2 linked regions of the Drosophila melanogaster genome follow. The gene in region 1 interacts genetically with each later gene. Each region holds a gene or a part of one and is shown in the gene's direction. Other genes may lie near its edges.

The links.
Region 2: of lilli (region 1) and phyl, changing one suppresses a phenotype caused by changing the other (phenotypic suppression), as found in Drosophila melanogaster (one study listed by BioGRID).

The regions. Positions count from the first base shown.
Region 1 is NT_033779.5:2,881,779-2,887,658, forward strand, and holds the start of lilli (lilliputian), read left to right. Parts: upstream 1-4,150; 5' UTR 4,151-4,800; intron 4,801-5,880. Other genes in the region: NTPase, read right to left, coding at 1-1,055, 3,215-3,244. UniProt on the Drosophila melanogaster protein: Has a role in transcriptional regulation. Acts in parallel with the Ras/MAPK and the PI3K/PKB pathways in the control of cell identity and cellular growth.
Region 2 is NT_033778.4:14,430,738-14,438,278, reverse strand, and holds the start of phyl (phyllopod), read left to right. Parts: upstream 1-5,941; 5' UTR 5,942-6,185; coding exon 6,186-6,371; intron 6,372-7,541. Other genes in the region: L (lobe), read right to left, coding at 2,119-2,161. UniProt on the Drosophila melanogaster protein: Essential adapter component of E3 ubiquitin ligase complexes; involved in R7 photoreceptor cell differentiation, embryonic nervous system, external sensory organ development and specification of particular muscles.

The DNA.
Region 1 (5,880 bases):
TTCACGCAGACGCTCTCCAGCACCGTATCCTCCTTCTTGTAGCCGTGCGTGAAGACAGCATGGCGTGCAGCCATTAGACCCAGTCCCAGATAGCTGTGCGTGAAGACGTTGATCTTCTTGCTGGACGTGACCACCTCGTGCATGTACTTATCGTACACGGGCACCTGGTCCGGATCCGTTGGCGAGAAGGTTACCTGCGTGCTACCGCCGCCCAAGTCCAAGGCAGCTGCCTGGTTCGTCTTGGACAGGCGGCCCAGCAGGAAGTTCACGGTAAACCAGCTGAAGATGCCCTCGTCCGTGCCGTCCATGATCTCCACGGCATCCATATCCACACTAAACTCGGACTTGGCGAAGAGATCTCGGACGGCATTTAGAATGTTTTCCGCCTTGCTGGCGGGCAGGAGTCTCAGGCCGGCGGTCGCTTTCAGAACCAGCGGTGTGGAAGACCAGTGCTCCTTGGGTATGAAGGCGCGGGCCTCGTCCAGCAGCAGTTTGATGGAGTGGGCACCCTCGGCGGGATTATCCGCGAAGGAGCTCAGACCCGGCTTGCGCTCCTTGAACAGCTCCTCGTACAGCACCAGTTTGTTGTCGATGAAGCTGCGATTGAACTTGTAGGCCAGCACACGGCTGCCCGTCGATCCGGCATCGATGATGGCCGCATACTGCACCTTGCTGTAGCCAAACTTGGAGGCCAAACGGGCCAGATACGGACTGGCGTTCTCGGAGACGAAGCCTGCATCGTTGTCAGTCGTTGGTTTATTGGCGATGGGTTTTTTAGTGATAACACGGCGAACGGGTGGCGCAAAATGGGGTTCCACGTGGGCGTAGGGCACGGTAACAGTGGGAAAATCAGAGGTTTTCGTTAGTACAACTTTGGGCACTTCGTCTTTTACATAATACAAATGGTACACACCAAAGACAAAGAGCAGGAGGATGACGGAGATGATCAGGCACAGGAAGGAGATCTTGAGGCCGCTGGGCCCGCGGTTTCCACCACTGCTGGCATTTGGTGATCCGCTACTTTTCCGCCGCGGTGGCTTCTCATCCGTGGCCAGCTGAAAAGGCGAAAGACAAATTAGTTTTGTGACCGACTACTCAGTTATTTGATGGTGTTTTTCTTGGCCAAGTTCATCGGGTCTACCAGCTTATATTCGTATTTCATGGTTCGTTCCGTTGCCTCTGCTGGCTCCACATTTATGCATGGCCGGTTTCTTGGTCGGAACACATTTCAGTTGTTTGCTGCTCAAATATTAACACGCTGGCTGTTTGCTATCTCTGCGAATGTCAATGAATTTCATTTCTTCTCTTGTTTTCGGTCTATTTTACGGGCTTTATCGTTAACATGTGCCAGGGCTGCAGAGTCCGTGGCTCATCGATAACGTTAACCAGGGTTGGGCCACACTTTTGGCAACGGTAATTTAGGGCAGTTGGTAAACAGAAAACCGTTACTTCAAACAAAATAACCTTTTAAAGCGCATTACTTGGATATTTCCACGATTAGTATATATTATTGTTCTACCTAACTTTTCGCTAGTTTATATTAGTTCTTATAAGAACAAACGATAAACACTAAAAATAGTAAAAAATGCGTTTCTATGGCTTTAGCTATGGCTATTATTAATTTTCTTAAAATATAAAGTCATGCCAAATTACACATTTTCGCTGAGGAAGTCAGCGAAGCCAGTGGCCATTCGACTAGAATCTTATCGCGTAGCTTTCTGGGCGATATGACAGTGATAAGACGCAATCAGTTTTCGGGGGCGATTGGCGCGTCTGGGCACCACTGGCAACAATCATAAGTGGGGCAGGCCACGAAGCGATCTTTTAGCTTGATCAAATATTAAAGTTCCCAAACAAACCTGATGAAATTCCCATTGTTTAAACAAATGTTACGCTGTTGGTAAGCGACTGACGCAAAAAAAAAATAGTTAAAGCCAATGAAAAGTAGTCAAACAAAGCACAAATAGCGAGTATATATAATTAAGCAGTAATGGAGTTGACAGGTAGATGGTATATATATCTATATCTATACAATCAAGTACACCCATTAGTTTCGAATACACATACTACTTCCCAATAATTACACTGTTGGCATAAGTGAAACTCATTAAACATTCAGGGTGTGAACTTAACGCATATGTTTCCAGGCGCACGCTACTGCAATCAATAAATCTACTGATAAAAGGCGCCTTTTGTGCCGATCTAGTGACTAAGAAGCCTGCTCCCCATTTATAAAGGGGAATACTTTAATCGGTTCTATAGATAACTCATTTATTTCGAAGCCGAACACTATTTTGCATCAGCTGAAAAGTAAATCTTAAGTCTTAAAGAACCCTAATTGATAAATGTATCTTGAAATATATAAATATGACGCACAAAATGAGTTGAAAGATACAAACATTGAAAGCTGGTAGAAGTGTGCTATCTAGAAAATGCTGATAAGTTTAGACACAGATGTTGTGAAAACAACAAATATCGAGTTAGATACAAAAGTATCTAGTATATATTGTAGTACCGAGTACACGTAGGTACACGAGGGTTAAGGCCACGTTAGCAGCCAGGCACTATCTGCACTCACTTGCAACCGGTTCCGGTTTGCCCGCATCCTGTTCTCCACCCACTTGCGATGCAAATCAGTCGAAACTATGCGATCCAATCGCCCCCGAAATGGGACACTCTATGTGTACCTGTGATCTTTGGGTTCCGATGCGAGAAAGCGATTGCAAAAGTTGTCTAGCGAGATTCGGTCGAAACGGCTGCCAACTGAATCGTTGGACTTTTCTATGCTTTTTTTTTATCAGCCCCCCCTAATGACCTTGCAAATGAGAAAGTTCCTGCTGACTGGTCACCCTAATGCGAATACGAAAATATTTCAAAATAAACCGGCCGGCATTAAGATGTTGATAGAAAACCCACTAGTCATCTCTTTCGTAACTAAAATCAAAATTTGCATAATTGTTAACAAAAGCGTGCTTAGCGGCCATTGCGTATCTATATTTAAATGTCTTGTAAACATACATTTTCAGATACAAATTGGCACAATCGAATAGAATAGAACTTGAAACGATTATTCTGCGAGTCATTTGATGTTTTACTTCCGCGTCAAAAGAGCAGCAATTTGAGGAATTCGCATGTGTGCGTGTGTGTGTGAGAGAGCGCCATGAAATTGGCATTAAATTTGTGCTGTGGATTGCCCTTTTGACCTTTTCCTTACTTTTCTCTTTCGCACATCGGTGTTCGTCATTCTGTCGTCGTTACTTTTCACTTAAATTATGTAAATACGCGAGCGTTTGTTTATTTCGGATCGATTGCTGCCGATCGCCGAGCGGAACGCACTAATGTCGATCTAATCTAATGATGGCCGCGCCCGCCGAATGATAAACTCTGATCAGGAAGCCAACGCGCACGGAATGGCGTCTTGGAATCAACTAAAAACATTTATTTACCACCTGCTCATTTATATGCTGCAGCCCTATCAGCTGTTCGCTGCGGCGCCCACTATCAGCGCATACGGCCACACTGCGGGGGCGGCAGGGATGCCAAAAATTGATGTGGATAACATAGAAATATTTAAAATTGTGAAATTATTCGATTTTGATAAGTATACTTCTTAACGGAATTCTGATAACAGGTGCAGAAATCCAGTGCATAGTACTATAATTGACATATATTAGAGGATTCGTTGTGCCTTAATCCGCTATTTAAATCAATAAGGATTTATCATAGATTCATTCGTAGATTCTTATCATTATTTTGTACCGACAAATAAGATAATTGGATTCAATAGATATTCATTCAAGCTAAGTGTAGATTAGATTATATAGGTATATCATATTTCCCATTAAGATACTTGCCCATTCCAAAATTGGGTTTTCTGGATTAGACATTGAGATAAGAAACCAGTGTTGAAAACCAACACTGAAAACTGCTTATGAATTTTCAAAAACGCTCGGATAAACACATTGCTAGATAAAACTCAGATCGTTAGACAAACCGGTTCCAAAAATCATTCATTAAGTAAGAGAAAATCGAAATTTTTAGCAAATATGCGGTACCGACATTTTCCAGAACTGGACCTATCGTCGCACAGCTGATCGCCCGCCAATCAGCTGGGCGATAGTTGCCGTATCGATAGCCGACCCATCGATAACGATATGTGTATTTTCCTGCTCTCTCTGCACCAACACAAAACACGCAACTAAATTTCGGTTAAAAACCCCTACTAAAAACAATGCAATCGAAACGGAACCATATAAAGTGATTAAATGGCCAACGCGGCGGAGGCGAAATGCGAGCGCAGTGCATTTTCCGGATGAAATCGCGTTTTCGGGGAAACTTACACAAACATTTTTTTCGTAAGCGCTCTCATGTTGTCTCTTTCGCACAGCAGAATTACTAGTTGCTGTGTGTGTGCGTGCGTGCGTTTGTGTGTGCCGTATGCCGTGTGCCAGTGTGTGCGTGCGTGTGAGTGTGAGTGTGAGTGACTTTGACTGCAGTTCGCGTACGTTTTTTATTAATACACCACATAACAACAATCACAACAACAACAAACAGTAATGGAAACTAAACATATTTAATGCGAGGAGACCAGAAATCGTCTAAAACGGCAAGGCTTTATCACCATCGCCACCACCACCAACAGCACAGCAACAACAACAAATTACTACAGCATATATGCTAGTGTGCGTAAACGTATTTGTGTTAAATAATGTTTAAACTGGCATTTCTGATTTCGCACACAAAACAATATTAAGTTGTAGTCACCAGCAGAGAGGAGCAATTGAAGCAAACGAAAAAGAGGTAAGTGCAAAAAGCAGACAATTGTTATAAACAAAATGTGTCAAAAGTTCGTCATGTCGTCGCGCGCTCTCTCTCTCTTTTTTGCTCGTTCTCCCTCTCTCTCTCCGCTCTGTCCTTCTCTCTCCCGCCACGCCGAAAAGAAATTAATTTTGATATTTTTTCCCTGCTTTTTTGTTGCACTCTCTCGCTCTCGCAAACTTTTAATTTTAATTTGCTATGCGCAGCGAATTCGCGCGCAAAGGCAACAAAAAAAGAGGCAATGCAAAGGCAGCAGCAACAACAATACAGGCAAAGTAATAAACGTCAAAATGCCAGACGGACAATTCCTCTCTCATGCGCTCTTTCCGTCGCTGTGTGCGTGCGTGTGTGTGTGTGTGTTTGGGTTTGCTAGCTTTTTGTTTTTATCAATTATTTAGGTAGGTGTTTGCCTTAAAAAGAATAACTGAAACGCAGAAAAATACCAATACTTGTATACTCCAAGTAAAAAAGGGTGAAAGGACACTATCGGCTCAACAAGGAGAATGCAAATGCTATAAGTAGGAGGGGGAGAGAGAGTCACACGCACACACACCTCAAGCAATTCTGATAAGAACAATTGTTATTTGTTTGAAAGCCGACATTCCAATAGTCCACGTCCATTCGCCCAAACGTTGAAAATAATCGACAAACTTAAATACTATTGTGTTTGTTCGCGAACCCAGAGATGCTTTGCCAACTGATGAAATAAATATGGCCAATGCCGTCAGAATAAAGCGAAAATACCATTGTGGTTGGAATTCTCTTAATGTTAACATTGATTACTCCATTTTCTACTTTCTAAACAATGTATTGTATTCAATATTTATATTGATAATATCGAAATAGATAATTGCAGTATTTAATTGTTTTTGTACTTCGAATTAGAAATATGACTTTAATCACGTACGCAACAACCCATGCTTTCTTCCTAAGAAATGACAAAATAATAGTCTCCACGAAATAGGAGAACTCCATACTCAAAATATAAGCTTCAGAAGTTTATAGCCTAAAGCATTTTCCTAAACAAACAGCTTTATAGAAGAGTCTTCAATGAAAAAATAA
Region 2 (7,541 bases), on another chromosome or scaffold:
AACAATTCTATAATCTAAAATCTTTAAATTAATAGAGACATTCCTAATTTATATTAAATAGTTTTTAGCAACAAATAAAATACCTCCTATATACCTTTGTATATAGTTATATTTCTGTAATGGACCAAAATTTGTATAGGTAAGTTACATATTTTTGATAGGTGTTCAAAAAGCTTGATAAAAAAAACAAATCGAAAAATTTCCATATATTTGGGCTCTTATTTTTTGCAATAGATGATGTGGGTATGTTGTTGTTTGATTGTCAATGAAAATAGCTGAGCTTGTGAGCCACCTACATATATGTATGTTCGGCATATACATACATACATATGTATATATAAATCGGGGAATATACCTAGAGATATGTAGTGGTAAACTGGCTGGCAACGCCGTCAACAAATGAAAACTCCCCAGGGAGTTGGCGCATGTTTGTTGCTGTTGCTACCGTTGGATGTTGCTGCTGCCTCGTTGCCCGGCGCTTTTCTCGAGGGGATTGGCCAGAGAGCCGTTGCCGACTCCCCTGAGAAATACATGGCAATGGGTTTTCTGTGTTTTGTGCTTTTTTCGCGCGCCCCTCGCCGGGCACATTGGTGCGACAGAGATGGCTGCAAAAAGAGCAAGCCAAAGTTCGCTTTTTTATACGTTGGGGAAATTTTCATGCCCCAGCATGAGGATATCTCTCTCTGTCTCTCGCTCTCTCTCTCTCCCTCTACCGCCCGTCTCTGTGTGTGTGTGTGTGAGTTAGTTTGTGTGTGCGCCAGTTGTCCTTGGGGGCCTCAGATCCCCCCTCAGCTGGCCACCCACAAAACCACCCACTTACACCCACCAGCCCACCTCCACCTCCACCTCCACATGCACATGTGTGCATTGGATTTATTGTCAATTTTATTTGTTATCATTGTTGTTGCTGCCGCTGCTGCGGCTGCTGCTTCTGCTTTTGCTCTGCTGTTATTTACACTGACACAATTTGGAATTGTATTAAAAATTAACGGCACTTTGGTTGCCTTGGCTTGGCCCGGCCGCAGAACGGAAAATGGAACCGAATCGAAAAACTGCACCGCACTCCCAGCCAGATCACAAAAATAACCAAACGGCAATACTGCGTTTTGGTCAACTAGCTTTTCATGTCCTTCAACATGTTGTCCTTGGGCCAAAATCTATGCCTAACACTTTAGGATATTCTAACTAAAAATGGATTCTTCTTCAATACGCGTAAATGTTATTGAACATAAACTGAACCAATTAACAAGAAAAAATGCAAATTAATCACCAAAGTTGACATCTTAATTAAAATCTCAGAAAGGAAATAATCTATCAAATAATATATGTAAACTTGACTAATTTATTCTTCCAATAATATTTTATTTATCCACAATATTTTTTATTTATATCAACCAAGAAAGCGTATCCCCCATTCGTCATGGAGCCGTTTTTGTTAACCATTTACTTGTTGGTTGACCAGAACACTCAATGTTTCAACCTCATACTGGGTGGGTTTGTTTGGGTTTCGGGGGTCTCTTGGCCCCCAGAGCACCTGCCTCGTCCCCGCCTTGCCCCGACCCCTCCAGCCGACCGCCCAGCCGGGTCCCAACCAGGGCTCCCTCATCCACTATGCCCTCCCCCCCTCCCCCCTCTTTGGTCGCTCTCTATCACTGACAGTTAGGTGTGTTGATCCCTGGGGATTGACCAATGCCTGCAAGCTGCTGGGCTGCAGCCGGTTTGGGTACGGAATGGGATTGGGATGGTACGGCATGGTATGCTCTGGCCGGGAATCGGTAGTCGAAACTGGAGGGCAGGGGAAATGGGCAATAGCCCAACCGGACCGGATTGTGGGCCATAGCAGGCCGAGGCCATTTGCATTTGTCACATTTTGCGGTCCCGCGAGCAAAGTTTGGCAGAGTAATGTTGTGTCCACTCCACCCCTCCCCCCCACCTTTGGGGTTTATCAAAGCAAATCAATCAGATGCACGCACACACAAACAGAGACAAACACACGGAGTACACTCGTAAGCAGTGGGACATGCTGGAACACACTCAGGATATGGAAATGGAGACCATGTCAGTTGGTGGCCACCTGGGGATTCGAGTCCTGCCACTGACCACTGGCGCCCAACTTACGTTTGAGACAGGCGCGCGGCTTGGCCTGTTTGCGTCGGGACATGGCCACGTTGGCTATTTAAATCACTGTTTCCGTTTCCGTTTATAAAGCTGCTTTAGTTTGATTTGACTTGATTTGATTTGATTTGGCTTGAGTGGGCCTAGCTCGCCGTGCGGCTTCCGTTTCGCGCCAAAGCGATTTGTTTTGGTTTTTTGTGTCACAGCCAGCGAGTCCTGGCAAACGCAGCGAATATCCTTGTGCCTTGAGCGTCGGCAACTGACTGAATGCTGGCCCAAAAAAGGTGGCATCAAAACAGAAGCTCTTAAAACAAAATGGTATGTCCACAGCGCAGTCGCGAACAATAAAAGAGCGACAGAGATTGGCAGAGAGAGCAATCAGATGCGGAGAGAGCAGGATGAGGTGGTAGAACAGAGCCACCCAAGAACTCCCAGACATCCAAGCAGTGAACCATCTATCAGTGCTGAACTTATTCCCCTGGGGGTTGCTTCGCTTCCATCCCCTAGAGAATACCGGCGCGGCACCAATCACGAGCGTTTCTGGGTGCCTTTTGAAGAGCCAGGGAACCCGGTAGCCCGGTAGCCCAGCAGCCCGGGAACCCATGCCGACTGCTCACAGTGTGATAGATTCTTCTATTTTGTTGCCCTCCCCGCTCGCCTGTTGCAATTATAAAGTCAAGTCAATTATTTTATAGCCGACTTTCGCACGTGCGTATGGGGGGTCCATCAAAAGGGGCGCGATCTCGAGGCGATTTCGATTCTCCCAAGGTGCCCTGCGAATTGCAGTTTCCACTTGGTTTCTCAGCAGCGGGATAACCAACGCACACCGCTCAGCTCCTTGGTGCACCGTGAGAAACGTGTCCAGAAGCAGAAATTCTAGTGCTTTGGCAGCGGGTGACGACGACATGGGCAATGGATCCTTTGTTGTGCCATCCACTCATCCATATTTCAGGAGTACCACACGCTTGGGATACGAAAGGTGATGTGGTGAGACTCATTAAAGGCAAAGATTGGTATGGAATGAATTAAGGAATGATTTAAAGTTGTGCTAAAGACAAAGTAAGATAAACCAACTGTGAATCCAGAATGTGTTAGAGAATGAATTTAAATTCTGTTTTAGTTAGAGATCAAACTGTGACCTTGAAATCGTTCTTATGTTCTTATGTTATATATTTATATATCTTTTGTTACTTCGCCGTTTGTTGTTTAAAGTATACGTTTTCATATGGGGACTTAACGTTGCACATATTACTAAATTGTTTAGAAAAATTCTTGGAAATTAGTGGTATACATTAAACCTCAAAATTGGAAAATAAAACTTATTTTCCCAAGCGGATTATTTGTTGGCAAATTGTGAGTGCACTCACCACTGGAGTGGTGTTTTTACATATTTTTTTCATTTTTTTTTTACATTACATTTTAAGAACTTGGAAGCATATAAAGGTATATTATTGCACATAGTACAGAAATAGTAAGACAGCTGAACGAATTATATATTTTGATGAAGATGAATTAGTAATACTATTGTATTGGATATAACATTAAAATATATTTAATCGCTTACAACGATATATCTTTTACATATTTCAATATTTATTGGATATTCAGGATTCTAAATAATAGATCTTGTGGATGGTTTTCGCTGAATGCGAACAAAAGAAATTCAATTACTGACCAAAATTATGCTAGACCGATTGAATTCATTTTTCGCCGCCGCAATTCGCCTTGCTTTGAATGTTAGGCGCCACCTACAGTAATTTCTTGAAAACTGTTTGGTAGCGACTGGCGCTGTGACTCCATAGATGTCGCTGGTGTGACACTTAAAGGCAACGGTATGTTTAAAATAAATATATTTCCTCTTAAAGTCAAATTGCATAAGAGATTAAAAAAATTTGATGTACAATTAATAAACAAACAATGGCGTAATAATTGTTTTTAGACGGTACCCTTTAGTTTTGCGTAGTGTAGTTTAGCTTTAATAGTGTTTAATTGCGTAGTCAAAGTCGAAGTAAAATAAATAAGAGCAGTGATTTAAAAATGGGAATACAAAAAACCGAATTTTTTCAAATGCACCAAAACCATTTGTTTAAACATATTGATAGGATCACAATAGAGATCTTGATAATAAATATTTAAATGCTTAACCATAAATCTCCAAAAAAAACTTCGTTATCCCATTCTTATCCTCGATATCTCATCCTGGCACCTTGGGCACTTCCTCTCTTGGGATCCCAGAGATCTACATGAAAATTTGATACGCATATGTCGCGGAAATCGATCGATCGAGGGTCCAGTTCCGGATACATTATTCGTTCGCCACGCAACTCCCTCGCCTGATTCCATTCATGTATTCATTCATCAGAGGCCTCGATTGCGCTTGGAACCTCCGTGCCCCATACTTACTCCTTACTCCCTACTGCCTACTCCTTACTCCCTGCTCCTTACTCCATTGTTTACTATCGTCGAAGATGCGTAGTAAAAGTAGCGGCGAGCAGCGCCAGTTAACCCAGTGTCTGCGATCTGAGAAGATCGTCGCAAATCGGAGGAGCGGACGAAGAAGGTTCGGACGAAAGAAAAAAGGAGAAGAAACATCTGTCGCCACGAAGAAATCCGGTTGCAAGCTGCAACACCACCGGCTCAAAATGAGCAACAACACAGAGAACATATGATTGAACTGCCCGAATGCCGCATAAAAATGGGTAAAAAACGAAAAATCGAAACGCACCTTTTGTGTTTTTGTTTTTTTTTTTTTTGTTTTTGGAGCAGCTGCCGTTGCTGTCGGTGCTTCGTCGCCGTTGCGGAGGATCGACGGGTTTGGGGGGAGCACCAGACTCTGCACTCGGCAGCCTGTTGATGAGCCCACAATGCGCACATGCTGCAAGCTATTCGTGCCGCGGATGATATGGGCTCTGTGTTGAGCCGGCGGGTCCTCCATAATGATAAGTGCCCGTCGAGGAGGCCGTCCACATTAAATTCGGCGTTTGTCGCTCAATGGCAGCTGCCACCGATTCCTTCGGCGGCTTAAGCAAATCCAAAGGACTGGACGCGAGGGACGAGCTTGAGTGTCGAAAGTTCAGATAGGTCAAGTTGTCAAAATATTCGGAGACAGTTGTCGGTGCTTTTCGATTCATTCATAAAATTTGCGAGGCTCTGATCGCTGAATGAATTTGGCAATTCGCCTTGCAAGGCAATAAAATTATAAAATAAGGTTTATCAGCAGGTTAAGAATCATTAACATTGTTATTCCTTATTTTTTATAAATATTTATTTGGCATAAAAGTATATCAGTCATCAGAATTTTATTCGTGGTTAAATTGTCAAACTTCTGCTGCATATTTCCACTGGCACTGCCTTTTGTTATCCGTTTCCTGTTTCAGAATTCGCACTAGTCATCCTAGCAGTCAACATCCCTTTTGGCGCCCTTAAATGTGAACATATGCCGCCTGTTTGTTTTGTTTCGGCTATGTCACCCTTATGGTTGCTTTTTCTCTCACTGCAATATTGGGTTATATGGTACATGTTTTCATTTTTCAAAAACACCAGGCTTAATCTGAGCCCAAAAAATTGCATTTGAGTATAAAAATTATACAAAAATAAATAAATATTTTTAAATTTTGTTTTATATTTGAAAATATATATATGATTTGAAAATATGATATATTTTGCATGACTTTTATTTCATTAGTGTCTAGCTTATCCTTTATCTCTTATTTTTCCCATCGATCCGACAACGCTCGCCACTCTCGCATGTCATTTGCCAGATGTGGCAGCCCGCAGGCACAAATTTTGAAAGTGGTGCCCAGAATGCGATGAGGACAAGCAAGGCTCATTCGAAATTTGTGCGTGCAACGCGAAGGACGTGCCGCTCCGTAGCTCGCTGTCCCGCTCTCGCTCTCCCCGCTCTCTCGCTCTGTCGCACGCGTTCGCCGCTTGGCATTTGTTGTTTGCCACATTTTCGCGGCACCCCAAAAAATCGTGAAAATACAAATACAATACGAGTGCGAAAGTCGAATATCGGCAGAAGTTAGTGCGACCTTTGGTGACGTCAGAGGCTGGGAAAAATCGCCAGGATGTCTACCAATCAGCAGCAGCAGGCGAATCCTTCGGCGGCCGTTGCCGCACCCGCCGCCTCCTCGGAATACCTGAAACGCACCTGCCTCATCTGCGGCTGCCACACCAACCAGACGATCAATATCTACGAGCCCCGCTCCGGACCCAATATCGTTCAGCTAATCCAGGCGAAATTCAAGTTTCAGGTATGGATTTTTCCCAACTTAGAGCAAAAAAAATAAAAACTCAGTTAGGCGGGGAACGTATAAAAATCGATATTGGGGCAACTCGGCGGATGAGTCATGCAACGAAGGAACGTCCTTCGGACAAAGTTTTCCCTCTGCGCGTGTATCCGTGTGTGTTTTTTTTTTTGGGTTAAAAGGGGATGAACTTCGCTGGGCGGAAAATGGGAAAATGGGTGGCACTTCTATAGGCAGGTACAGGTAACTCCCTCACAGCAGCCCACTGGGAAAAAAAGAGTGGCAAGCTATTTGATGATTGATTTCGAGCGCAGTTTTCTAATATTTTTAAGTGATTATTTGCAAAGAACTAAGGTCTCGGAATTAGTAGTTCTATCACAAACTACTTTCTTAATGAAAATTTCAAAATCCTTTATCCCTATTAGTTTTGTGGTATGCCCACCTTTTCCTGTGCCCTTTAAACTGCATATCCTGTCGCCGAGCAGATGATGCATTTCCCCGACAACCTTTGGTAATTGGACACTTTGCATATGTGCCAGTGCCACAGAGCCGCCACTTAGTTCGATTCCTTTCCCATAATTTTTAACAGCTTGTTCTAATATGCGAGCAGTGCGGTGTGTGTGTGTGTGGGAAATGCGACAGCGGAAGATGGCCAGGGAAATCGATCCTGGCTGAAGATCCTGGGCTTGTTTTTCTGTGGAAGTGAGTTTCGGGTCTCGGATTACAGGCACTCCTCCTCACTCAAATGACTACCCATGACTACCTGTACCGGCGGCGCACACATAAACCTGCTCGAAAGGGCAGATGTGCTGTGGATTTGCCGAGATTGCTCCAATTTCTGCGGGCAGTGAACGAACCCGGTGTGTTCGTTCTCTTCGTTTCCATATCCCAAAACGACAGCTGTATTTGCCGGTCGGCACTCAAAATCCAACCCATCGGGGTTTCTGGATCCTCTGCTGCTGCTGCTGCTGCTTCTTTATCAGCTCTTCATGGTCTCGAGTGAGTTTTTTCGCATATCAACTATTGAACTCGGATACCTGGATGCGAGTTCACAGTTTATTGTTTGTGAGACGAAGGGATTTTCCCCAGCAGCATTGGTGGTTGAACCCTTGGAGAATGCCAAATATCTTTGGATAGAAATTCCGGTTTCTTAAGCTGCGCAAATCCAAACAAAGG